4 linked regions of the Macaca mulatta genome follow. The main gene of each other region encodes a partner of the protein of the gene in region 2 in a complex. Links are inferred from orthologs where the notes say so. Each region holds a gene or a part of one and is shown on either strand. Other genes may lie near its edges.

What was found.
Region 1: KAT14 (region 2) and YEATS2 share a complex: the UniProt entries of both Homo sapiens proteins name them as parts of the ADA2A-containing complex. The link is inferred for Macaca mulatta from reciprocal best matches to the Homo sapiens genes KAT14 and YEATS2.
Region 3: KAT14 (region 2) and MBIP share a complex: the UniProt entries of both Homo sapiens proteins name them as parts of the ADA2A-containing complex. The link is inferred for Macaca mulatta from reciprocal best matches to the Homo sapiens genes KAT14 and MBIP.
Region 4: KAT14 (region 2) and DR1 share a complex: the UniProt entries of both Homo sapiens proteins name them as parts of the ADA2A-containing complex. The link is inferred for Macaca mulatta from reciprocal best matches to the Homo sapiens genes KAT14 and DR1.

What each region holds. Positions count from the first base shown.
Region 1 is NC_133407.1:95,833,837-95,840,468, forward strand, and holds the start of YEATS2 (YEATS domain-containing protein 2), read left to right. Parts: upstream 1-2,764; 5' UTR 2,765-2,974; intron 2,975-3,058; exon of another isoform or gene 3,059-3,191; intron 3,192-5,608; 5' UTR 5,609-5,901; intron 5,902-6,632. UniProt on the Homo sapiens protein: Chromatin reader component of the ATAC complex, a complex with histone acetyltransferase activity on histones H3 and H4. YEATS2 specifically recognizes and binds histone H3 crotonylated at 'Lys-27' (H3K27cr).
Region 2 is NC_133415.1:65,840,951-65,846,842, reverse strand, and holds part of KAT14 (cysteine-rich protein 2-binding protein), read left to right. Parts: intron 1-2,987; coding exon 2,988-3,169; intron 3,170-5,710; coding exon 5,711-5,892. UniProt on the Homo sapiens protein: Component of the ATAC complex, a complex with histone acetyltransferase activity on histones H3 and H4. May function as a scaffold for the ATAC complex to promote ATAC complex stability. Has also weak histone acetyltransferase activity toward histone H4.
Region 3 is NC_133412.1:109,418,067-109,423,438, reverse strand, and holds the end of MBIP (MAP3K12-binding inhibitory protein 1), read left to right. Parts: intron 1-1,692; coding exon 1,693-1,731; intron 1,732-1,825; exon of another isoform or gene 1,826-1,996; intron 1,997-3,309; coding exon 3,310-3,417; 3' UTR 3,418-3,933; downstream 3,934-5,372. UniProt on the Homo sapiens protein: Inhibits the MAP3K12 activity to induce the activation of the JNK/SAPK pathway. Component of the ATAC complex, a complex with histone acetyltransferase activity on histones H3 and H4.
Region 4 is NC_133406.1:146,924,603-146,931,160, reverse strand, and holds the start of DR1 (protein Dr1), read left to right. Parts: upstream 1-2,970; 5' UTR 2,971-3,152; coding exon 3,153-3,372; intron 3,373-6,558. UniProt on the Homo sapiens protein: The association of the DR1/DRAP1 heterodimer with TBP results in a functional repression of both activated and basal transcription of class II genes.

The sequences.
Region 1 (6,632 bases), on a different chromosome or scaffold from region 2:
AAGCCTCAGGGCAGCATGGGAGGGGAGATCTGTGTGCAGGATTGTGAGCTGTAGCCTGAGTTTTCACTGGCCTCTGCTGCTATGTCTCTGGTGACTTCCAGTCTCCACTGCCCTGTGGGCATCAGCTGCTGAGGTGGTTGGCTGGCAAGCTCATGACCTGTTGCTTTAGCATCTTCACAGAGTTTGATGTCTCATCTTTCATCCCCAATCTACCATCCCTGCTCTTCTCACCAGCTGACTTAGGAGTGCTTCAGCTCCACTGGTATCTTCAGTACTGCCCATCCTTGGGGTCTTAGCTACATTCTGTGGCCATTCCCTGGCCATCAGCCTACCACAAGGCCTTTGCTTTAGGAAACCTGCCCCTTGGCACAGTGCCTATTGGTCTGTCCGTGGCTCGTAACCATGCTACTTTCTTTTTTTTTTTTTTTTTTTTTTGAGACGGAGTCTTGCTCTGTCGCCCGGGCTGGAGTGCAGTGGCCGGATCTCAGCTCACTGCAAGTTCCGCCTCCCGGGTTTACGCCATTCTCCTGCCTCAGCCTCCTGAGTAGCTGGGACTACAGGCGCCCGCCACCTCGCCCGGCTAGTTATTAGTAGAGACGGGGTTTCACCGTGTTAGCCAGAATGGTCTCGATCTCCCGACCTCGTGATCCGCCCGTCTCGGCCTCCCAAAGTGCTGGGATTACAGGCTTGAGCCACCGCGCCCGGCAACCATGCTACTTTCTGCATGCCAGGCAGGGAGCAACAAGAGAACTCTGGAATTCTGACATACCTACTGTGCAAACTGCAGTGCCCCAGCAGCACTATTGCAGACTCCTCCCAATGCCATGGCCTGCTCCCGAGCCCTGCTGTGTGAGCCTTCTCACAGAATTGGACAGCCTTCCAAGCTAGACCAGGGGAGGTCAACTTCTAGCTTCCTCAGCACTTACCTGGGTATTTCTATGCTTCCCACCTGAGTGTTAAACCCCAAGAGTAGGGGAACACCAACACACTCATCCTGATCTCTGACCTCACCCCCTTCTCCATGAAATTTATGTTTATCTCCCCAGTTCCTATTATCTCTTGAGTCTTAGCTTAAGGTTCAAGGAAGCCTTTCTTAATTGTTTTTGTTTGTTTGTTTGTTTGTTTGTTTTGAGACGGAGTCTTGCTCTGTCGCCCAGGCTGGAGTGCAGTGGCCAGATCTCAGCTCACTGCAAGCTCCGCCCCCCGGGTTTACGCCATTCTCCTGCCTCAGCCTCCCGAATAGCTGGGACTACAGGCGCCCGCCACCTCACCCGGCTAATTTTTGTATTTTTTAGTAGAGACGGGGTTTCACCATGTTAGCCAGGATAGTCTTGATCTCCTGACCTCGCGATCCGCCCGTCTCGGCCTCCCAAAGTGCTGGGATCACAGGCTTGAGCCACCGCGCCGGGCCCTGTTTATTTGTTTTTGAGATGGAGTTTCACTTTTGTTGCCCATGCTGGAGTGCAATGGTTCACTGCAACCTCCACCTCCCGAGTTGTGATTCTCCTGCCTCAGCTTCCCAAGTAGTTAGGATTACAGGCATGTGCAACCATGCCTGGCTAATTTTTGTATTTTTAGTAGAGATGGCGTTTCACCATGTTGGCCAGGTTGGTCTTGAACTGCTGACCTTAGGTGATCTGCCCGCCTCAGCCTCCCAAAGTGCTGGGATTACAGGCGTGAGCCACCACGCCCATCCAGGAGGATCTCTCGAGCCTGGAAGTGTGAGACTAGCTGTGGTGATAGTCAGACCTGTCTTTAAAAAAAAAAAATTAGTCTGGGGGTGGTGGCTCATGCCTGTAATCCCAGCACTTTGGGAGGCTGAGGAGGGTGGATCACCTGAGGTCAGGAGTTTGAGAGCAGCCTGGCCAACATGGTGAAACCCTCTCTCTACTAAAAATACAAAAATGAGCTGGGCGTGGTGGTGCATGCCTATAATCCCAGCTACTTGGGAGGCTGATGCAGGAGAATCACTTGAATCAGGGAGGCAGAGACTGCAGTGAGCCGAGATCATGCCACTGCACTCCAGCCTGGGCAACAGAGGGAGACTCTCTCAAAAAAAAAAAAAAGAAAAAAACCACAAAAAACAAAACACCATTTACATGTATTATGTGTAGATAAAAACATTAAATACATAAAAATTTGATAACATGTAGGTAAAGTATTAAAAAATCAGCTCCAGTAGTAAATCTTTATACAGTGAGGAGGGATTGAAGGGGAACAGAAGATCCCCGAAGACCAGTTGGGAGGCTATTTATAGTCCTGGGCAGAGAGATGACAGGGTCTTGGGTAGAGGGTGGTAGAGTTAGAACGAAAGAGAATGTTGGCCTCAAGAGATATTTAGATGGAAAACTGGACTTGGATTGTCACTAGTGTGACTGGGATAAGTCTCAAGCCTTCCCTGCCTCAATCTCTTCATCTGTAAAATGGGCTAGCAATAACTACTGTTATTTGTATACGCAGCACTTAGCACATGGGTTGGGACAAAGATGGCACACACAAAAATCATTGTTACTATTGTAATTAATAGGGAAGCTCATACATACCGGCAGAATGAATATTCTGTCAAACTTGGGGTTGAAATTCGCCACCTTCTGGGGCAGAAAAGTGATGGACAACCACGCCTTTGCGAGAATCGACGCCCACACTGCCCAGGAAGTGGCCTCGCGGGCCGGGGTCGCAGCCTGGACCAGCCCCGCCCCGCCCCGCCCTCATCCCTGCGAGCTCCGCCCCGAGGCCGCGCGCGCGCGCCGCCGCCACCACCGCCGCCGCGCGCGCCCCGACGCGCCCGGCTGCTGACGTGCGGGGCGGAACGGGTCGGGCGGGTTCCACCGATCTGGGTGCTTCCGCGGGCTGCGGGGGTCGCTGGGGTTTCGTGGCTGGGCAGCTCCGCGGGGCTTCGCCCGCTCCCTCACCTCGCTCTACCCTCTCGCGGCGCCCGGCGGGGCCGCGCTGCAGCTGGAGACCCGGAGAAAGGGTGAGTGTTGGCGGGCGCAGGAAGGGACCGCGCGGGCGCGCGCCCTGCTGTCTGGGGCATTGTTTGGGCGGGGGCGGCGCGGGCACGTGCGCGCCCCTCCCCCATCGGCCGGCTGCGCCGCGGCGGGACCCGGTGAGGCCCCGGGCCGGAGGGGAGGGCAGGGAGGATCCCAGGTGCGGGCCGAGGAGCCGCAGAAGCGGGAGCCTGGAATCGGAACGTGAGTTGGGGGCTTCCTCTTCAGCGGGGCGCTCCGCTGAGGGGATGCGGGTCCCCGAGCCTCAGCGGCCGGAGGTTTCGGGATGTTAAGCTCTTGGCCTTGGAGGCAAGATTTGGCCCCAGGACCAGAAAGTCGTGGGTTTACCGAAAGGATCCTGGAATGCCCCTCCAACCTGTCGCCATCCCCACCGGCCCTCCCGGGATGGAGGGGAGGGGTTAGAGAGGCTTTGGGGTTCCAGGGAGGGGGCCGGGGCCAACGCGCCGGAGCTGCGGGCAGTGCGGGGCGGAGTGGAAGCCTCGGAAAGTGAGGACTCCTGCAGGAAAGGCTGGCTTGGAGGGCTGTGGCCAGACTGCAGAAGACAATGAGGTTCTCCCCATCATGAATGTGATTATGTTAAGAAATGGAAAGCAGAGAAAGAGAAATGCCATCAGCGATCTTATAGGCCTGACACATCATTTTTTTAGTTTGATGTTTGCTAGTATTTTCATCTAAGCCTTCAGCAGTTACAGAGTTGACCCACGTTTTCCATTTCTCGCTCACATGTACAAAATGCGCCATAATATCATATAGTATTCAGCAATATCATTTCCCCTTAATGAGTAGAGAGTATTCAGCGTAGAAAAATTTAAAAATACAAGCAAAGCAAGAGAAAAATGCCCGCAGTTTTACGGTCTAGAGATATTACCCTTGGATGTATATTCCTGTTTGTGTATACTCTTTAAAAGATAGGGCAGATGATGCTCTGATTAGGAGTTTAGTTTTTCCGGGAAACCTTTGAAGGTTTTGAGAAGGCGAGTAGCATAATCCGACTGCTATGTAGAGGAAGAGGGCTGGGGAGGAACCTACGAGGTCAGTTACTGTGCTCTTTGCAGTAGCTTAGACTAGGCCCATGGCAGGGAGATGGGGAAGTGTAAACAGATTTTTAAGTGTTTTGAAGGTAGAATGAACAAGACTTGGAAATGAATTGGTGAGGGAATGGTGGGAGTCTTTGCTTTTTTGATTTTTGTTTTGAGCACCTGAGTGAATGGTGGTGCCGTTTACTGAGATGAAGAATGGAAGAGAGAAATTTGAGGTGGGAAAAATATCGAAATCTATTTTGGATGTATTAAATTTTAGATGCTTATTAGTTATGAAGTCGGTGTGTTGAGGCAGTTGGATGTAGAGGGCTGGAACTCAAGGAAGAGAGAGGCTAGAGCTAGAGATAAAAATCGGAGTGGCTGGGCGCAGTGCTCACACATGTAATCCCAGCACTTTGGGAGGCCGAGGCAGGTCGCTTGAGCCCAGAAGTTCTAGACCAGCCTTGGCTACAAGGCAGGACACCGTCTCTTAAAAAAAAAAAAAAAAAAAAAATTGGAGTGATCAGTACATAGATGACATTCAAAGGTATGGTGCTGTGTGAGATCACTGAGGGGAAGCGTGAAGAAGTGAAAGGGGCTCAGACACTCAAATACCTGTAGGTCTGGCAGAGGAAGAAGGTTGAGGAAAGGACACAGGAAACAGCAAGTGAGGTAGGAGAAAAAGCTGGTATCATGGCAGCCAAAAGAGATATTTCTGGAAGATGTTGAATTGGTCCTTTTATCAGGGCTTCTGAGATGTTCATTAAAGTTGTCAATTGGATTTGGCAACACGGAGGTCATTGGTTTTGGTCATTGGTCTTCCTGTCCATAGTTCTGGAAGTGGAAGGTGGGAACCAGACTAGAATAGTTTAATGGAATGTGAGGAAATGAAACTAATGAGTGCAAATTAGAAAAAAAGTGCCCCTATTTCCATCTGCGCCAAAACTAAACTGGATCGATGAAAAATGATGTCTTGTGTTTTTTTCATTTATTGATTACTAGTATGTTTGAACATTTTTTTCACATTTATTGGCTATTTGCGAATTTCTTTTCTTGTTCTCTGGCATCTTTTGTTATTTCCTAATTGATTGTCAAAGGTTCTTTAGATATTAAAAATAGGTAGCTTGACATACAGCATTCAGAGCTCTCCCCACATGTTTTTCAGTTTCCAATGCTTCATGTTCATTCAGCGGATGCATGATAGTTTGCGGTGGGTTATTTTTTATTATAAAATCCATAGGAAGAGGAGAACTAACATTACGTTGTAGATCTCTGAGTGCAGCCCACGTATGATGTACATTGCTCCGTATTTCCTTAGGATAGATTCTCAGAAATAGTTGGTCCTGTCCTCTTCTCATCAACCATGGATTTTTACTTGAATGTTCGTTGCCACGTTCTTGGATTGTTCCACATCTCCCTGCCTTTGGTCCTGCTCTGCTTTCAGTCTGTTTTCTATCATGATAGAAAGTAGATGGTGGGAGTTGATGCAGTTTTCTCACAGAAAACAAGACTTATGAAGCAGATTTTTTCTTTTTCTTCTTTTTCTTTGTTTTTTTTTTTTTTTTTTTTTTTTGGAGACAGAATCTCAGTCTGTTGCCCAGGCCGGTGATCCCAGCTACTTGGGAGGCTGAGGCAGGGGAATTGCTTGAACCCAGGAGGTGGAGGTTGCAGCGAGTGGAGATCGCGCCACTGCACTCCAGCCTTGACGACAGGGGGAGACTTCGTCTCAAAAAAAAAAAAAAAGGCGGATACAAAAAGCCACGTGCTGTATGATTCTATTTATACGAAGTGTCCAGAAACAGGCAAGTTTATCGACACAAAAAGTAGTTGCCAGAGGTTGAAGGGAGAGGAGAATTGAGAGTGACACTTAAGAGGTAAGCGGTTGCTTTTTGGAGTGATGAAAACATTATGGAAGTAGATAGTGGTGATTGTTGTGCAACTTTGTGAATATATTGAAATCCACTGAATTGCACACTTTTAAGTGGTGTGTGTGTGTGTCTATATATATATATATATATTTTTTTTTTTTTTTGAAATGGAGTCTTGCTCTGTCGCCCAGGCTGGAGTGCGGTGACACTATCTTGACTCACTGCAAGCTCCGCCTCCTGGGTTCACGGCTTTTTCTGCCTCAGCCTCCTGAGTAGCTGGGACTACAGGCACCCACCACCATGCCTGGCTCTTTTTTTTTTTTGTATTTTTATTAGCGATGGGGTTTCACCATGTTAGCCAGGATGATCTCGATCTTCTGACCTCGTGATCTGTCTGCCTTGGCCTCCCAAAGTGCTGGGATTACAGGCTTGAGCCACCGGGCCCGGCTGGTCAATATATATGTTTTTTGAGACAGGATCTGTCTCTGTTGCCCAGGCTGGAGTGCAGTGATGCAACCATAGGTCATTGCAGCCTTGAACTCCTGGACTCAAGTGATCCTCCCACCTCAGCCTACCAAGTAGCTGGGACTACAGGTACACACCACCATGCCCAGCTAATTTTTTTCTTTTTATTTTTCAGTAGAGACAAGGTCTCCCTATGTTGTCCAGGCCGGTCTTAAACTCCTGGGTTCAAGCAGTCCTGCTTTGGCCTTCCAAAGTGCTGGGATTACAGACAC
Region 2 (5,892 bases):
CTAATTTTTGTATTTTTGGTAGAGATGGGGTTTCGCCATGTTGGCCAGGCTGGTCTTTTTTTTTTTTTTTTTTGTTGAGACAGAGTCTCGCTTTGTCGCCCAGGCTGGGGTGCAGTGGCCAGATCTCAGCTCACTGCAAGCTCCGCCTCCCGGGTTTACGCCATTCTCCTGCCTCAGCCTCCCTAGTAGCTGGGACTACAGGCGCCCGCCACCTCGCCCGGCTAGTTTTTTGTATTTTTTAGTAGAGACGGGGTTTCACCGTGTTAGCCAGGATGGTCTGGATCTCCTGACCTCGTGATCCGCCCGTCTCGGCCTCCCAAAGTGCTGGGATTACAGGCTTGAGCCACCGCGCCCGGCCATTGGGGGAAAACTATTTAGGCCATTCATAAATACTGTGTTTATATATGTCCTGGCAATAAATTTATTCCATTTTATGCAAATATTTTGTTATGTGTCTGTGCTGTGATTTAGCTGGCTCTATTAGTTTGCTAATGATGCTGTAACACAAACTGGATGGCTTAAACAACAGAAATGTATTCCAGTTCTAGAGGCTGGAAATCTGAAATCCAGGTGTTGATAGGGTTGGTTCCTTTTGAAGGCTGTGAGGGAGAGAATGTTCTATGCCTCTCCCTAGCTTCTGTGCCACAGGCCTTCCTTGGCTTGTAGATGACATTCTCCCTGTGTCTTCATGCATCTTCCCTCTCTACACATCTGTCTCTCTGTCCAAGTTTCCCCTTTGTATAAGGTCACCAGTCATATTGGATTAGTGTTCAACTTCATGACCTCCTGATCACTGTTTGCACGTAAGGTCACATTCACAAGTACTGGGACTTCAACATCTTTTGGGAGAACACAATTAAATCTGTAACACTGGACAATAACTTTATAAAGATTTATATTGTTTCCAGTTTTTGTGTGTTTAAGTTAGCCTTGTGGGGAATATTCTTGTATATATATCCTTTGTGTTTTTATGATTAGAAGTAGATTTGTGAGGTCAGAGGATACACACAATTTTGCTGTACATTATGAAAGTAACCTCCAGAAAGTATATGCCTGTTTGTAGTCCCACTGTCAATGTACAAGTACGCACCCATTTTCCACACACTAAATAACACATTGGTTTTTAAAATCTTTTGAGTCTGTCAATCTTTTTATTGTTTTTGTTTGAGATAGGATTTCATCCTGTCACCCAGGCTGGAGTGCTGTGGCACAGTCATGGCTCACTGCAGCCTTGACCCCCCAGGCACAAGTGATCCTCCCACCTCAGCCTCCCAAGTAGCTGGGACCACAGGCACGTGCCATCACACCCAGCTAATTTTTGGGTTTTTTTTGTAGAAATGAGGTCTGTTTGCCAAACTTTTGTTTATTTATTGCAGTGAAAACAGTGAAAATTTACCATCTTAACCAGTTCTAAGTGTACAGTTCAGTAGTGTTAAGTATATTCACATATTTGAATATAGATTCACAGATGGCCAGAACTCTTCTCAGCTTGCAGATCTGAAACTCTATCCCTATTAAATAACTCTCCATTCTCCCCTCCCTACAGCTCTAGGTAGTCACCTTTCTACTTTCTGTTTCTATGACTTTGACTACTCTAAATACTTCATATATGCAGAACCATACAGTGTTTGTCTTTTTGGGACTGGCTTATTTCACTTAGCATAATGTCCTCAAGGGTTATCCACATTGCAGCATATGACAGGATTTCCTTTATTTTTAAGACTGAATAATATTCTATTGTATGTGTTTATGTTACATTTTGTATTAGGGTTTGGAAAGATTAGAAAAAGAGAAGAATGTAGGATAGGTACTTTGGGACCAAAAGGTTGGGGGTTTCATTCTCTCCATCTCAGACAGTGCTTTTTTTGAGACCAAGTTTTGTTCTTGTTGCCCAGGCTGGAGTGCAGTGGCACAGTCTTGGCTCACTGCAACCTCCGCCTCTCAGGTTCAAAGATTCTCCTGCCTCACCCTCCCAAGTAGCTGGAATTACAGGCGTGTGCCATAACACCTGGCTAATTTTGTATTTTTACTAGAGACGGGGTTTCACCATGTCAGCCAAGCTGGTCTCGAACTCCTGACCTCAGGTGATCCACCCGCCTTGGCCTCCCAAAGTGCTGGGATTACAGGCGTGAGCTACCATGCCCGGCCTCAGATAGTGCTTATGCCTACTGTATCTTAGCTTATTTATTTTCTGTGTTTTCTATTAATAATACATCGCTGTTCCTCAGAATGCTTTTCCTTTGCCTTCCCAGCATTATCTTCAAACTGTTAGACTGGTCTTCTTGTGAAAGACTGTCTTTGAGGATTTTTGGCATTCGATTTATGTTTTCAAGGTGGAAATAGAACAGTTGCCTTAAAAGAATTTTCAACAGGGAACCCCAAATAGTTGACATTTTGTACATTTTGGTTATTTTGTCGTGCAGTAGGTGCTTGTGGAACATGCCACATAGTTTTGTTACCACTCTAGTGCTTCAAGGCAGATAGGATCAGATTGAGAAATGTGTGCGACTTCTCGGGTAAAATCAGCTGTTCACTGGAGCCAGTGATTAACTTCTATCACAAAATGCCCAGGCTTGGAGTTACACTTTTTGTATGGTTTATTCTTGGGAGCTGTGCTTAATTCACATAAAAAAGCAACTTAATTAAAATTAGCCTGTAGAATTCCATAATCGTGATGATTGTGATGAGAAGTATTTTACATGCTTTGTTTGAATTATTTCGTTTAATCCTCCTAGCAACCCTGTGAGGTAAGTTCTATTATCCTGGTTTTACAGATGAACAAACCGAGGGTGCTAGAAGTTGGTAGTGCCAGGGTTTGAAGCAGGTGGACTCCAGAGCCTCTCTCCTGCCTCTCGTGCTCTGCTCCTTCAGTAGCTGGAGGTGCCATTGCATGTTGCAGGCCGGGAGTCACAGTATACACAGACTGTCTTTTCTGTATAATGAGCAAATTGAAGTGCCAATCATTTTCAAATTCTTGGACTCTTTAGGAAAAAGACGTCCACCTGGTGGAGCACCGTGGCAGGTTGCCTCAGCGTGGGAAGTCCCATGTACTTCCGTTCAGGTGCTCAGGAATTTGGAGAGCCGGGATGGTGGAAACTTGTTCATAACAAGCCCCCAACGATGAAACCTGAAGGAGAGAAGTTGTCTGCCTCTACTTTGAAAATAAAAGGTACTGTTGTGAGAACAGTACAAAAGATGCTAGTCAGACCAGAGCCAAGCAGGTGTGAGTCCAGGAGACACTCCTGCTTCCACTGGGCATGGCTTGCAGGCCTCTCTGGAACTACTCTGCTTAATACTTCTGTGATGATACTTGTGTGTGTGCTAGAAATAAATGCCACATAAAAACATTTTATCATTTCCTAATCAAGCTGTCATTTCTATAAATTTCCCAGGGTATCTGAAAGGTTCAATGTTTTCCATCTGGTTTTTGTTTTTAAACTTCTCACAAAGGTGAAAAGATGTTTTAAAATTCCCTTAATAAATAACATGATGAATTCCCATGTACCTTCCACCTCACTTTGACATTAACTCCTGACAGTCTCATTTTATCTAAATCCTCAATACTTTCCCCCAACCTTCCCCATTCTTACTATTGGATTATATAGAAACAAATCCCAGGAATCAACATTTCATTTCTAAATATCTTAGACTATCTCTAAGAGATCAGGATTCTTTCCTTTTTGCAGCCTGACCATAATGCCATTTTCATATTTAAAAAGATGTTAAGAGTAACTTCTTACTATCACATATTGATCTGGTTTTATGATCTAAAAAGTTTTTAATGAGCTTTTAAATTTTTATATTTATTTGTTTGCTTGTTTGTTTATTTATTTATTTGAGATAGAGTCTCACTCTGTCACCCAGGCTGGAGTGCAGTGGTGCAATCTTGGCGCACTGTAACCTCTCCCTCTTAGGTTCAAATGATTTTCGTGCCTTAGCTTCCCAAATAACATGCCACCATGCCCAGCTAATTTTTTTAAAATTTTTATTAGAGACGTCTTTTGCCATGTTGGCCAGGTTGGTCTCGAACTCCTGACCTCAGGCTATCCACCTGCCTTGACCTCACAAAGTGCAGGGATTACAGGGTGAGCCACCGGACCAGACTGATGAGCTTTAATATAATTGGGAAGAAAATCAAATAGTACTTAAGGGTGTAAAGTATGAAAGTTCCCCCTCCTGCCTATTGCCTGCAATTTCATTTCCCAGAGTAACCACTGTTGTCTTTTGTGAATACTTTCAGAAATGATCTCTGCAGATTTAAGCATTTTCTTACTTTTTAAAAAAAGTAAAATGGACTCATACTATATGAGTTTTCCATTTTTGCCACACTTACCAGTATGTCTTGGACATCTTTCCGTGACAGTACATGTAGATTTACCCTATTTTATTTCATTACATCCATTATATAATTATGTGATAATTTGTTAAACCATTCTCCTGTTGATGGACATCTTGGTTGTTTCTACCTTTTTGTTGTTTTATTTATTTATTTTTTAATTAAAACATTTAAAAAAAATAATAGAGATAGGGTCTCACTATGTTTCCTGGGCTGGTCTTGAACTGTCGGGCTCAAGTGATCCTCTGGCCTCTGCCTCCAAAAATGTTGGGATTACAGGCGTGAGCCATCACGCCTGACCTTTTGTTACTTTAAACAGTGCTACAATTCTACAAATTTGTGTACATGTGAAAATGTGATAAATTCCTGGAAACAGAGTTCCTACATCAAAGGGCATATTCATTCAAAATTTTAATCAGGATTGCCAAATTATCCTCCAAGAAACTGTAATAAGGCCGGGCGTGGTGGCTCATGCCTGTAATCCCAGTACTTTGGGAGGCCGAGGTGGGTGGATCATCTGAGGTCAGGAGTTCAAGACCAGCCTGGCCAACATGATGAAAGCCCATCTGTACAGAAATACAAAAATGAGCCGGGTGTGGTGGTGCATGCCTGTAATCCCAGCTTCTCAGGAGGCTGAGGCAGGAGAATTGCTTGAACCCGGGAGGCAGAGGTTGCAGTGAGCCGAGATCACACCACTACATTCCAGCCTGGGCAACAGAGCAAGACCCTGTCCCCCCAAAAAAAAGTGCCCATTGAAATGCCCATAAAAATGCCCATTTCCCCATACATTTACTGAGCTTTATCAAACTTTTTTTTTGGCTCACTGCAGCCACCACCTCCTGGGCTCAAGATCTGTCCACCTCAGCCTCCCAAAGTGCTGGGATTAAGAGGCGTGCACCACCACGCCTGGCTAAACTTTTAATGTTTACCAGTTCCAGTAGGTGAAAGACAGTATTTATTTGTTTAAATTTGCAGTATAACTTCTTTTTTCTCAAGAGATATCTAAGTCTTTTTTAGTTAGGGCATTCATTGAACATTTCTCTTTCTTGAACATGATACTATGCATAATGATAAATTAGCAAAGGAAACTAAAGTTGAGTAGTTATTTTAAAATTTAGATATGGGTTGAGCAATCCAAATCTGAAAATCCAAAATCAAAAACACTCCAAAATCTGAAACTTTTTGAGCACCGACATAATGTTAAAAGGAAATGCTCATTTGGAGCATTTCAGATTTTGGATTTCTGGGTTTGGGATACTCAGGCCTAAGTATAATGCAAATATTCAAAAATCTGAAAACATCTGAAATCCAAAACATACTTGTGCCCAAGCATTTCAGATGAGGGATACTCAGCCTGTATTTATTCTTTCCTAGCAGCCTCAAAACCAACTTTAGATCCCATCATTACTGTTGAGGGACTTAGAAAACGAGCAAGTCGGAATCCTGTGGAATCTGCCATGGAATTAAAAGAGAAAAGGTCTCGAACTCAGGAAGCAAAAGACATTAGAAGAGCCCAGAAGGAGGCCGCTGGCTTTCTTGACAGGAGCACGTCTTCT
Region 3 (5,372 bases), on a different chromosome or scaffold from region 2:
GTTTTGTTTTGTTTTGTTTTGTTTTAGACGGAATTTCGCTCTGTCACCCAGGCTGGAGTACAGTGGTGCGATCTCAGCTCACTGCAACCTCCGCCTCCCGGGTTCACACCATTCTCCTGCCTCAGCCTCCCAGGTAGCTGGGACTACAGGCATCCGCCACCATGCCTGGCTAATTTTTTGTGTTTTTAGTAGAGACGGGGTTTCACCATGTTAGCCAGGATGGCCTTGATCTCCTGACCTTGTGATCCACCCACTTCGGCCTCCCAAAGTGCTGGGATTACAGGCATGAGCCACCGCGCCTGGCCAAGGGGAATTATATTTGCATTAAGTGTATACAAAGCCACCTCTTAGGAAGTCAGGAGACTGATCAATTGCCAAATTAAACATTGATTCCTTATTTGCCCATAGGCCCTACCACAGGTATGCAGCTTGGTTTGGCAAAGGAAGGAGCATAATTATCTGAACTCTATTATTTCATAATTACTAATTCTAATACTTAATGATTTCCAACTTATTGTAACTTGATAAGAAGCATACCTAGATGTTCTTTGAATCAACTTTTGACACAAAGGAAAATGTGAGTTTTAATGCTATCTTCAAAATTTCAATAGTCAGAAATGCTCATGAGAACATTTTGTCTCTGAGATTCAGTTTGTTAAATATACTAGTTTACTAATTTGCCATTTAAAAGCTAGTGCTTGTGTGAAACTAAGAAAAAGTCTAGGAAGAATTCATTAGACCAAGATTTAAAAGGCTCATTAGTGGATCAATGAGAATGTTGTCAGCTTCAACTGTAAGAAATTTGAACTCAAAATTGGCTTAAACATTATGTAAACTATAAAATAGGAAGTCCATGGTAGCACAAGCTTCAGATTTAATTGATTCAGTGACTAAATCATAATTGTAAGAAAATAGGTTTCTTTCCCCTCTTAACTCTGCTTGGTGTTACCTTCTTTCCCAGGCAGATGGCAAGATGGCTACAGCACTTTCAGGTGTCTTACCCAGATACAGCAGTATCCTGAGAAACTGCCTTCTTTGAGGGCTTTCTCTCAAAAGATGTGAGGAAGCTTTTTCCAGAAGTTCTCCTCTTAATCTCCAGCAGTCTTCTCCTTTACTCATTGGCCAGAACTGGACCCATGCCCATTTCAGTCACTGATAAGACCAGGAAGCCATTGGCTTGGGCCACACAGAGAAGCAGTGGATAGGTAGCTCCTTGCATAAACAACCACAGTGTCCATTATAGTCAGTCCAGGGTGTGTGTGTGTGTGTTTTCACCTCTTGGCCTCATATACCAGATTATATTTTTCCTTTGTCTATTGTCACTTCGCTTGTTCAACACCCTGGGATGGAAAGGTTATAAAAAAAAACTAAGCAGAAAATCCCCAGAGCACCTCTTTCCACAATCACCCAGGCTCATTAGAAGCTGGTAATTGATGGGAAAATATGTATTGCCAAAGATAAGCATGTTGCTGCAGTATTATTATTATATATTGTTAATGTCATCCTCTTTAGAGGGTAACTTGCAGAATATAAGGTGGATGTTGGTTACAGACAATAATTGGTATTGGTAAATTGGTTGGCTTTCTTTCTGTCAGAGTTCCCAAGGCTGTACGTAATTTGTACGGTATTTCATAAAGAAAAAAATAATGCTTAGATTTTTTTAAACGTTGATTACTTTTTTTTAAAATCTAGAGCTTTTCTGGAAAAAGAAGAAAAGTTCAACCACCTCAAGTAAGTTACTGCATTTTCATTTTGGTTTCTGAAATAGTTTGATTAGTTTTATACCTTTCTTATTAATAAAAGTTTCTACTATGGTTGCTTTTAGGTCATACCCTGGTACAATTTACGACTGAAGAAAAGGGCAGTATAAACTAATATACTTGAATAGAAAAATTCTTTTAAGGGCATGGAATGACTCAGATAGGTTAAATAAATAAAACCTTTGTCCTGCTTTTAGTAGTACAAGGATGTGTCATTCATCAAGTGCTTAAAAATAGTAAGTGCTCAAGTAATTTCAGTCTCCCCCCATCCCTTCCTTTTGTGAACACTTCTGATTAGTAGCATCTACATCAAAAAGGGTGTTTGGCAGAGTTTGACTTCAGCTGGCCCTGTCTAAAGTGCTACTTTACTAATTAGTTGAACCTTAAATAATAAGGCTTTGCTAGACTTTAATAGTGGTAATGTGAATTTAAAGTTGGAGAAGACTTTCTAATTTTTAAGAGTAGCATTTTTTTTCTTAAAAAATTCCGAGTAAATTTTTTGATAGCAATTATTTTTTCCAGAAGTAAATTATTGTAGTTGATCCCTCAAGAGAGAATTTCTAGGTATTTTAAGCAGTTATTTTTAAAGTTAACTTTTTTTACTATTGATTATGAGAATAATCAGGTTTTTAAAAGTTACTCTTATGTAGTAAACTGTAACACTTTGTTGCTGCTTTAAAAATACAATTCACATAACATAAAATTCATAATTTTAAAGTGGCTATTAGTATGTTCACTATGTTGTACAACCATCACCACTAAGTCTAGAACATTTCCATCACCGCCCCAACCCTGTACCTATTAGCACTCAGTCCCAATTTCCCTTTCTCTTTACCCCCTAATAGTCACCACATAATACTTGTGTCTAAATTAGAAATATTAATGCAAGTGAGGGTGTTCACATAGATAGACTTGAACAAATCCAATTTTTATTGGAAAGCAAAAGGAGTGTTTTCTTCACTGTTTTCCACTTCAGGTTAACTTTAGTAATCAACATAGAAAGTTTTCTATTAAAAGGGATAGCTGATATCTCAAATGATTTTTTTCTCCTGGTAGTAGTATAATTAGCATTTTTCTTCTTCTTTCCAACTTTTACTTAAGCTCAAGGGGTTTTCAGGTTTGTTACATGGGTAAATTGCATGTCACGGAGGTTTGGTGTACAGATAATTTTGTCACCCAGGTAATCAGCATAATACCCGATAGGCAATATTTCAGTCCTCTCCCTCCTCCCATCTTCAAATAGGCTCCAGTGTCTAATAATCAGGCTTTTTTTTTTTTTTTGTAAACTTATTCTTTCAAAGTATAAAAGGTTCAGGAGAGCTTAATCATTAGAAAAGAGAAATATTTAAGCCTTGTTATTTTATGCTTTTAAATTTATGATATAGTCAACATATATAGTTGTGCAGGTTTAAGATTATTCTCATGAGGGAAAAAAACCCATTTGATCATGCTTTTAAATATTTTAAATATTTATAGTTCATTTGGCACTTTATCTGCATTAAGATACTTCAGAATCTTATTCAGCAATTTGTGTCGTTATTGTTTACAGCAGAACTATTCACTGGCTGAACTTGATGAGAAAATTAGTGCCCTCAAACAAGCCCTCCTCAGAAAATCAAGAGAAGCAGAATCCATGGCAACCCACCACCTTCCATGAAAAACTCCTCTCCATCCTTGTCATTTTACTTTTTTGTATACATATGTGTAACTTACACTGTTATTAATTCAACGGATATATATTTATCAATGTAGACTTCTCTGTGAAGTCAAGGTTTATTTTCACGAGTCCAGCTTGCAGCAAGTAATCTTCAGATATTCCAGTAAGTTTTTAAATAATGAATGTGTTGAAAATAGCATTGTTGGAATTTATTCCCTTCTGTTTTAAAGGAGGTATTTTGGAAATTGAAAAACTTAATTTAAAAGTGCTGGTACATCTTTTTTCTTTTGTGGACCACAGAAAGGAAAATTTATTTTGATATTGATACTTTAAAAGGACTTTATATTTGTAACATTGGTGTTAACCAGTTTATTAGTTTAAATCAGTACTTTGCATATAATAGGCATTCAACAAAAATTTATTGACTGAAATGAATTTTAAATGGATGTATGAACTTGTTTTTCTTAATTTCTAAGATGTCAGTATTCATGTAAATAAACAATAGATCCAGCTTTATCCCTTTATTGACTGTGTGACTTTGAACAACTTACTTAATCTGTCTTTGTCCTCATTTCCCAGTCTGTGAAATGGGAATGACAGTAATAGAAACTACCTTACTGTTATGAAGAAGAGGTGAGATCATGTATGTTTGAAACTGTCTGTCTCAAGGGAATTGCTCAGTAAATGTTAGCTAATATTATAAAACCAGGTCTGGTTTTGGACAGCAATTAGGATGTTACAAAGAAATTATAGTACCTCTCTTTTGAGAGCCTCACCTTTACAATACCCCAGTTATTAGGCAGTACATACATTATTGTGTCCAGAATTGGTGGGTTCTTGGTCTCACTGACTTCCAGAATGAAGCCGCAGACCCTTGTGGTGAGTGTTACAGTTCTTAAAGATGGTGTGTCCGGAGTTTGTTCCTTCAGACGTTCAGCTGTGTCTGGAGCTTCTTCCTTCTGGTGGGCTCATGGTCTCACTGTCAGGAGTGAAGCTGCAGACCTTCGTGGTGAGTGTTACAGCTCTTAAAGGCAGCGCATCTGGAGTTGTTCATTCTTCCCAGTGGGTTCGTGGTCTCAGCTTCAGGAGTGAAGCTGCAGACCTTCGTGGTGTTACAGTTCATAAAGGCAGCATGGACCCAAAGAGAAAGCAGCAGCAAGATTTATTGCAGAGTGAAAGAATAAAGCTTCCACAGTATGGAAGGGGACCAGAGCGGGTTGCCACTGCTGGCTCGGGCAGGCTGCTTTTATTCCCTTATCTGACCCCACCCACATCCTGCTGATTGGTCCACTTTACAGAGAGCTGATTGGTGTATTTACAATCCTTGGGCTAGACAGAGTGCTAGACAGAAAAGTTCTCCAAGTCCCCACTAGGTTCAGCTAGATACAGAGTTAGCTATAAACAGAGTACCAATTGGTGTAGTTACAAACCTTGAGCTAGACACAGAGTACTGACTGGTGTATTTACAAACCCTGAGCTAGACAGAGTGCCGACTGGTGCATTTACAATCCTTGAGCTAGACACAGAGTGCTAGACAGAAAAGTTCTCCAAGTCCTCACCCTGCTGAGGAGCCCAGCTGGCTTCACCTAGTGGATCCTGCACTTGGGCTGCAGGCAGAGCTGCCCGCCAGTCCCCAGCCGCACCTCCCTCCTCAGCCCTTGGGCGGTGGATGGGACCGGGCACCACGGAGCAGGGGGCGGAGCCCATAGGGGAGGCTCAGGCCACACAGGACCCCACTGCAGTTGGGGGGCTCAGACATGGCGGGCTGCAGGTCCAGAGCCCTACCCGGCGGGGAGGCAGCTAAACTCGGTGAGAATTTGAGTGCAGCCCCCGCAGGCTGGCACTGCTGGGGGACCAGGCGCAACCTCCACAGCTGCTGGCCCCAGTGCTAAGCCCCTCACTGCCCTGGGCCAGCAGTGCCAGCCGGCCGCTCGGCGTCCCTATGGGGCTCCCGA
Region 4 (6,558 bases), on a different chromosome or scaffold from region 2:
AGTAACATTATATAACACTTCATACTACAAAAAGTACTTTCACACAAGTCTCATTTGATTTTGAATCCTGTGTGTTACATAATATTTCTATATCTGAATTGAAGAAAATGAGGCTTGGAGAGTGACTTGTCTAAGTAAAAAAAGTTGGGACTGGTACCTACAACTCTTTACTACACATTCAATTCTGTTTATGCTACCACAGAAGCCTCTAGCAATAAACTATTACTGAAATAATGTGTGCTCTACTCATCTATTTAGCACAAGTCTATAAAGAACATAAATGTTACATGAAAAAGCAAAGTTATTATAGTTTTTTCAGGAGAGACAAGATATGGGTCAGTGACACTGTGACAACTCAGGACATTTTTTGCCAGCTAGCTTTTTCAGATTGATAAACTTGATAAGGTCAAGATAAATTTAGGCACTATAATAAATCTTTAAATCAACAGTAAACTGACGAAAAAAAAAAAACAACAAACCACCACTTCATAAAGATTTTTTTTTTGAGACAGTCTTGCTCCGTCGCCCAGGATGGAGTGTAGTGGTGCAATCTCGGCTCACTACAACCTTTGCCTCCAGGGTTCAAGTGATTCTCCTGCCTCAGCCTCCCAAGTAACTGGGATTACAGGTGCCCACCACCACACCCAGCTAGTTTTTGTATTTTTAGAAGAGGTGGGGTTTCACCATGTTAGCCAGGCTGGTCAACTTCTGAGCTTAAGTGATCCGCCTACCTTGGCCTCTCAAAAGTGCTGGTATTACAAGTATGAGCCACTATGCCCGGCCTGAAGAAAATTTAATTAAAATACTGTTTTTAATCAAAGAAATTTTGTTTTGACTAAATTTAGTAGCACTGAAAAACAAGTGTCCACACTTCAGAAATTAAAGAACCAGTAAGTGGTCCTGGAGAAAATGCTAAATGAAAAAATAGAGTAATAAACTGTAATGTCTTCTTGAGAACAGCATACAGGGCTCAGACAGAATGTTTTAAGAAAACATTGTCAACAAGCCAGGTGTCATCAAGAGTAATGAATCTGATGAACCAAAGTGACAAAATGGATTTAAACGGTGTCTTGTTTTTAGAAATTCCAACATCCCACTATTTATATAGCCTCTTATTCCACACGACAGTATGACAAACTTAGTTTGTCTTTTTTTTTTTTTTTTTAACGTTTTTTGAGACAAAGACTCTTTCTCTGTCACCCAGGCTGGAAATGCAATGGCACAATCGCAGCTCACTGCAGCCTTGACCCCCTGGGCTCAATCGATCCTCCCACCTTACCCTCCAGAGTAGCCAGAACTACTGTGCCTGCCACCAAGCCCGGTGGAAAAAAAAAACCCGTAAGAGTGTCATACTGTCATATGGGAGAAGAGGCTATACTATAAACAGTGGGATATTGGAATGAATACACACACACACACACACACACACAGATATTTGTAGGGACGGGTCTCACATGTTGCCCAGGGGGGTCCTGAACTCCTGGGCTCATGTGATCTCCCTGCCTCAGCCTCCCAAAGTGTTGGGTTTACAGGTATGATGAACCACAGCGCCCGGCTGACACACTTTTTAAAATGCAATTTCTGTTTAGATCTTGACACCTGTTGATATTACTAGTCACTATGGAAAGAAGCAAAAACAGTTAAGATGCTCTAACATTTTTTTCCCCTGTAGAAGCCAACATGGAATACACCATGAAAACTGTCTAAATGGGAACCTTCTAATACGGCTCATTGTACGCCATGCATTTCCACTACGTTGGAACTGACTTCTACTTTCCTCCTTATCTATTAGGCGACTTAGTCGCCTCTAGGCAAGTAACTTCTCTGTTTCATTTTCCATGCAGTAAAAAAAAAAAAAAAAAAGGTGGAGGACTTTAGAGAGCTTTTACCCGAATAAGGTCTATTAGACATCTTCAAAAGCTTTCTCTCCAGACGACGCAGAAACAGGCACACGGGATTCTGTGCTTTCCCCACCTCCCACTCCCAAGCCCAGGCCCCATTCTTCTCACTTTCAATCCTCATTTGGGCTCCTAAAAGAATAGCAAAGAGAGTTCTTTTATCAATACCAGCGCTCCTCTGTCCCCAAATCCGGCTAGGGATGGGTTCGGAGGCCTCAGCTGCTGGAGAGAGGGTAGAGACGATCCTTCCTCGCCCATCTAGCCAGCCACCACCCCTTCCCAGATCTAGCGTCCGGGCCCCTGACCAAGCGCGTGCTTGGAGCTCTCCGGTACAGTGACGCGCGCGCTTGCCCGGCTAGGGCCCCTGTGAAGGAATGGGATCCCGAGGTGCTTGCCAGGACCGCAGCAGGCGGAAGCTGCTGGCAGCGGGAACGGGCGGCTCCCGTCAGCGTGGGTGGGGGAAGGGCGGCAGCCACATCCGGAAGTCGGTCCGGGAGGGAGGGGGAAATCTGAGGAACGAAGCTTCCGGCGGCGCAAAGGGTGTCGGGAGCGGCTTCCTGCAAATCTTCCCTGGCCTCTGGAGGGACCACCGTTGCCGCCGCTTCGGCTTCCAGGATCTGCGTTCGGGTTACGCGGCCACGGTGGCAGCCACTGCGACTCCCACTGTGCCTGGCTCTGTCCATATTAGTTCCCAGGCGGCCGTCGCCGTTCCAGCAGCGGCAGCGGCGGACATGTTGTGAGGCGGCGGCGCGGGTGTCTGAAGGATGGTTTGGCCGAGGCGGCGGCAACGGCTGCTGGCGGCGGCGGCAGCGGCAGCGGGGCCTCGGGCTCTATAGAGCCGAGCCCGCTGGGTACCCGCCCGGTACCGCGGCGAGGCCAGTGCCCCTGGATCTTGCCTCTTCGACGCCGTTGGGGACCAGTTAGGCGACAGTGCCCGCCCCTCTGAGGAGACCCGAAGGTGGTTCCCCAGCCGCTCAAATTTCCGGACCACCGCGCTTTCCCCTCAGCCTGGGCTGTGCTCTCTCTAGAATCCTCAGGCCCCCACTTTCTTCCCAAACTCATCCTAAATCTCTCACACACGCGAGCGTTCCCAGCCCTCAAGCCAGCTCCTCCTCCGTTCATTTTCTGCACCCTCTTCGCGAAGCACCCCCCGGGATCACTCTCCGAGGGCGGCTTTTTGAGAGATCTCCGTGGAGTAGTGGACCAGAGCCGGGGAGTTTTTAAAAGCCGGGGCGCGAGAAACAGGAAGGTACTATGGCTTCCTCGTCTGGCAACGATGATGATCTCACTATCCCCAGAGCTGCTATCAATAAAATGATCAAAGAGACTCTTCCTAATGTCCGGGTGGCCAACGATGCTCGAGAGCTGGTGGTGAACTGCTGCACTGAATTCATTCACCTTATATCTTCTGAAGCCAATGAGATTTGTAACAAATCGGAAAAGAAGACCATCTCACCAGAACATGTCATACAAGGTAAGTCATGTGTGGAAATTGGTTTGAATGAGGGTCTAGGGGAGCAGTCTGCTAATCGCGTGACGCTTTCATGTCAAAGCCTTCATTCCTCTTCACTGGTAAGTAACTTAATGAAAAAGCCAGACTGGCATGTAGGTAGCCCGTGCTTTAAAAACAATCCCTTTGTAGCATTCTTGCAGTACTTTTCATCTAGCGAATACACGTAAGGAGTGCAAACATTTAGGTCAACGTCCCCAAAACATAAAGAGTGATCTCACTTTACAGCCAGGTAAGCCGAAGCAACAGGAATTGCTTGCCTGAAGTTGAACTTAGATAATAATTAAGGAACGCAGAAGTTCTCCCTTGGAAAATTAAAAATTCAGACAGAGGAACTTCAAGTATGGATGGAGACAGAGCGCCCCTTCCCCACCTGACCTTTCACCAATGTAGAGGAAAAGATTTATTTTCTGAACACATGAGTTAAAAAATTCTTAATATACAATGTGTTCAACGTTGTCAAGTTTATCGTTGTTGAATAAAAGGAGGTATGTTTTCTGCTCTAAAAATGGTTTGATGGTACGTTCATGAATGAGTTACGAAAGCACTCCTGGTCCATTCTGTAAGAAAAGGGTGAACTTTAAATTTTTGTTTTTTTCTTTTTGTTTGCCTTTATGTCGTTTGCTTTGTTCTATTCTGTGGAGATAAGTTTTAAAATCTTTGATTGAAAGTTTATGCAAGTTTTTTTTTTTTAAACGGAAAATTTCCCCGTCCTTTCCTGCTGTCATTCTTATTTGGATGCATACACTTAGGCTTTTATTGAACAGCACTTCTGAAAGCTTCAACAGTTTCTTTTATCCTGAAAAGGTTGTGGTCCCGTAATAGGGATTTGGGGGACTGTATTCTAATGGTTTCAGAGAGGAGAAACATATTTACTAGTCATAATGTTTCGGGAATGTACCTTTTGCGATATTTTTACATGTACTCTTGTGAAAGAGTTGTTCTCAATTTGAAGTGAGAACTTGCCTTTCGTAATAATCTAATTAAAAGTATTGATTGCTTGTGAAACCAGGGAAAAAATGGTTAATTTTAATCATTTTGGTAGGCAGGTGGTTGTCTGTCACTTAATTTTTATACTTTAACTTTTTAAAATGTGACTTGCCTGTTGTACTGAAGTAGAGAACACATCTGCTTATGTTGACCATATCCAATATTTTACTGTCAGTATTGACAAAAGGATTAAATGATTGATTTTTAATCCTTTATGACGTCTTGAAAGTAGTTTTAAAATATATCCTGCCATTTCAGTACATAAGGAGAAAAATCCCTAGGAAAAAGCATATTTGATTCTTAAAACTAGTACTAGTTTTTTTTTTTTTTTTCTACTTGATGTGCTGAATACTCTAGCAAGTAAAATGAAAGCCAAGTTGTCTGTTTTTTCTCTTGTGTATTTATTTTTACATTGTATGTGTGATTGCTGTCATAAGTCTTTCACAAGATTATCCAGCACAGATAGCTGTAATTTCTTTTTACAACTCATAAAAAGGAAAAAGAACTTTTTATCAACATTGCCTTTCTAATGAAAATTGCAAAAGATTTCAACAGGGTCTGCCTAAATATTTGTTTACACTACAGAAGTGGGGATCGTTCCAAAAACCTAATAACACATTACAGTCTGTCTTCTTGGGGAGAGTTAATTCTTTTCTAGGATATATTTAGATTTCTGATTGACATGATGGAATAGAAGTGCAGCTGTAGCAAGCAGTATGCTAAATAATTCAACTTTGGAATATGCTAAATTCAGTTTAATGTGTGAGTCAGAAAGCTATAGTGAAAAAGCATTTCCATTGTGTAATGAAGATGATTTGTTTTTGAAAATCATGTATTGACGTGTTATAGTCTTAAAATTTTACCTCTTTTTTTTGTATTATGCTATTGTTAGGTGGATAAGAATCTACATTTTCGCCCAAGAATTCTCCCTAATTGGGGTTGTAGACTTTATACATTTATAATCTCATATTGCTTAATTATTCCAAAGAAGTTTTGTTTTGAGAGGTTAAATTTTTAAAGAAATTCTTAAGGTTTATATGTTTTAGGTGTTTGAAGTGTGTTCCTGTACACTAATCATAATAGATAGGACATTTTTATACTTTTCTGTCAGCATTGATTAGGAATGTAGAATATATCCAAGTGGAATAAATAATGTACATTTTAAAGTGGTATGATTCTCACATGTTGAAGTTTGAGTTTTTAGTGGTAAGTTTAATGAACTGGACTTTGCTTTAGGACATTTCACTTGTTCATTTCCCACCTTGCTTTATCTTGTCTGAACAAATTAAGCATTCTGAGATAGTTCTGTAAAATGCAAGTTAAAGTTGAACCAATTTGATCACCAGTAAATCTATTAAATAACTTAGTTTAAAAAAATTTTTTTTCTGTTTTGCTTATTTTGAGTTTAAGAAAGTAGACTTGGTATTGAAGATCATAGATATGTGAATAGAGGGAGTTCTAAGCTATAAAAGGTGTTCCTATTTTATTGCAGTTTTTTGTGAACACGTATTCTTGAATGAGTTCTAACATGTTCTGTCACCTTATAGAAAGAATTGACATTGAGAGTCAGCTTAAGTTCTGCACTGAGAATTCTTTAACCTTAGGTAAATCTTTTAACTAAGGTTTTCTTATTTATGTATAAATAATACTTGATTTCAGGTATTACTTGTAATTTTTGAGAATTAGTCAGGGGTTGAGAACCTTACATGAAATATCTCCCCTCCCATTATGAGAATTGTAACTGGAAGTAGTAAAAGTTTGAGAGTATCTGAGAATTTACATCTTCAGCCACTGAGTTGCTCCAAGCTGTCTTATGTTGAAGGAGTTTTTAAAAAATTCCTGTCCGTCTCACACTGGTACCTTTGTAAGATAACATGAAAATGGATCACTGGAAAAGATGAGGAAAAGACCAACACTTAACTTTTTACTATTAGATTCAATAGACATAAAATTATTTTGTCAAATTGCAATGAAGGTACTTAAATGCGTTGAATTTCCATGGTTAACTAATGTTAACCATTAGGAGCTGTTCCGGCATAAGTCCATGGACCACACTTTGAGAACCTTTGCTTTAAAGCCTAAACCACAGTCTGTGTTGGAAAGTGGACATGAGTAGTAAATAATCATTCATACAGATATTTTTTCCGAAGGGACACATCT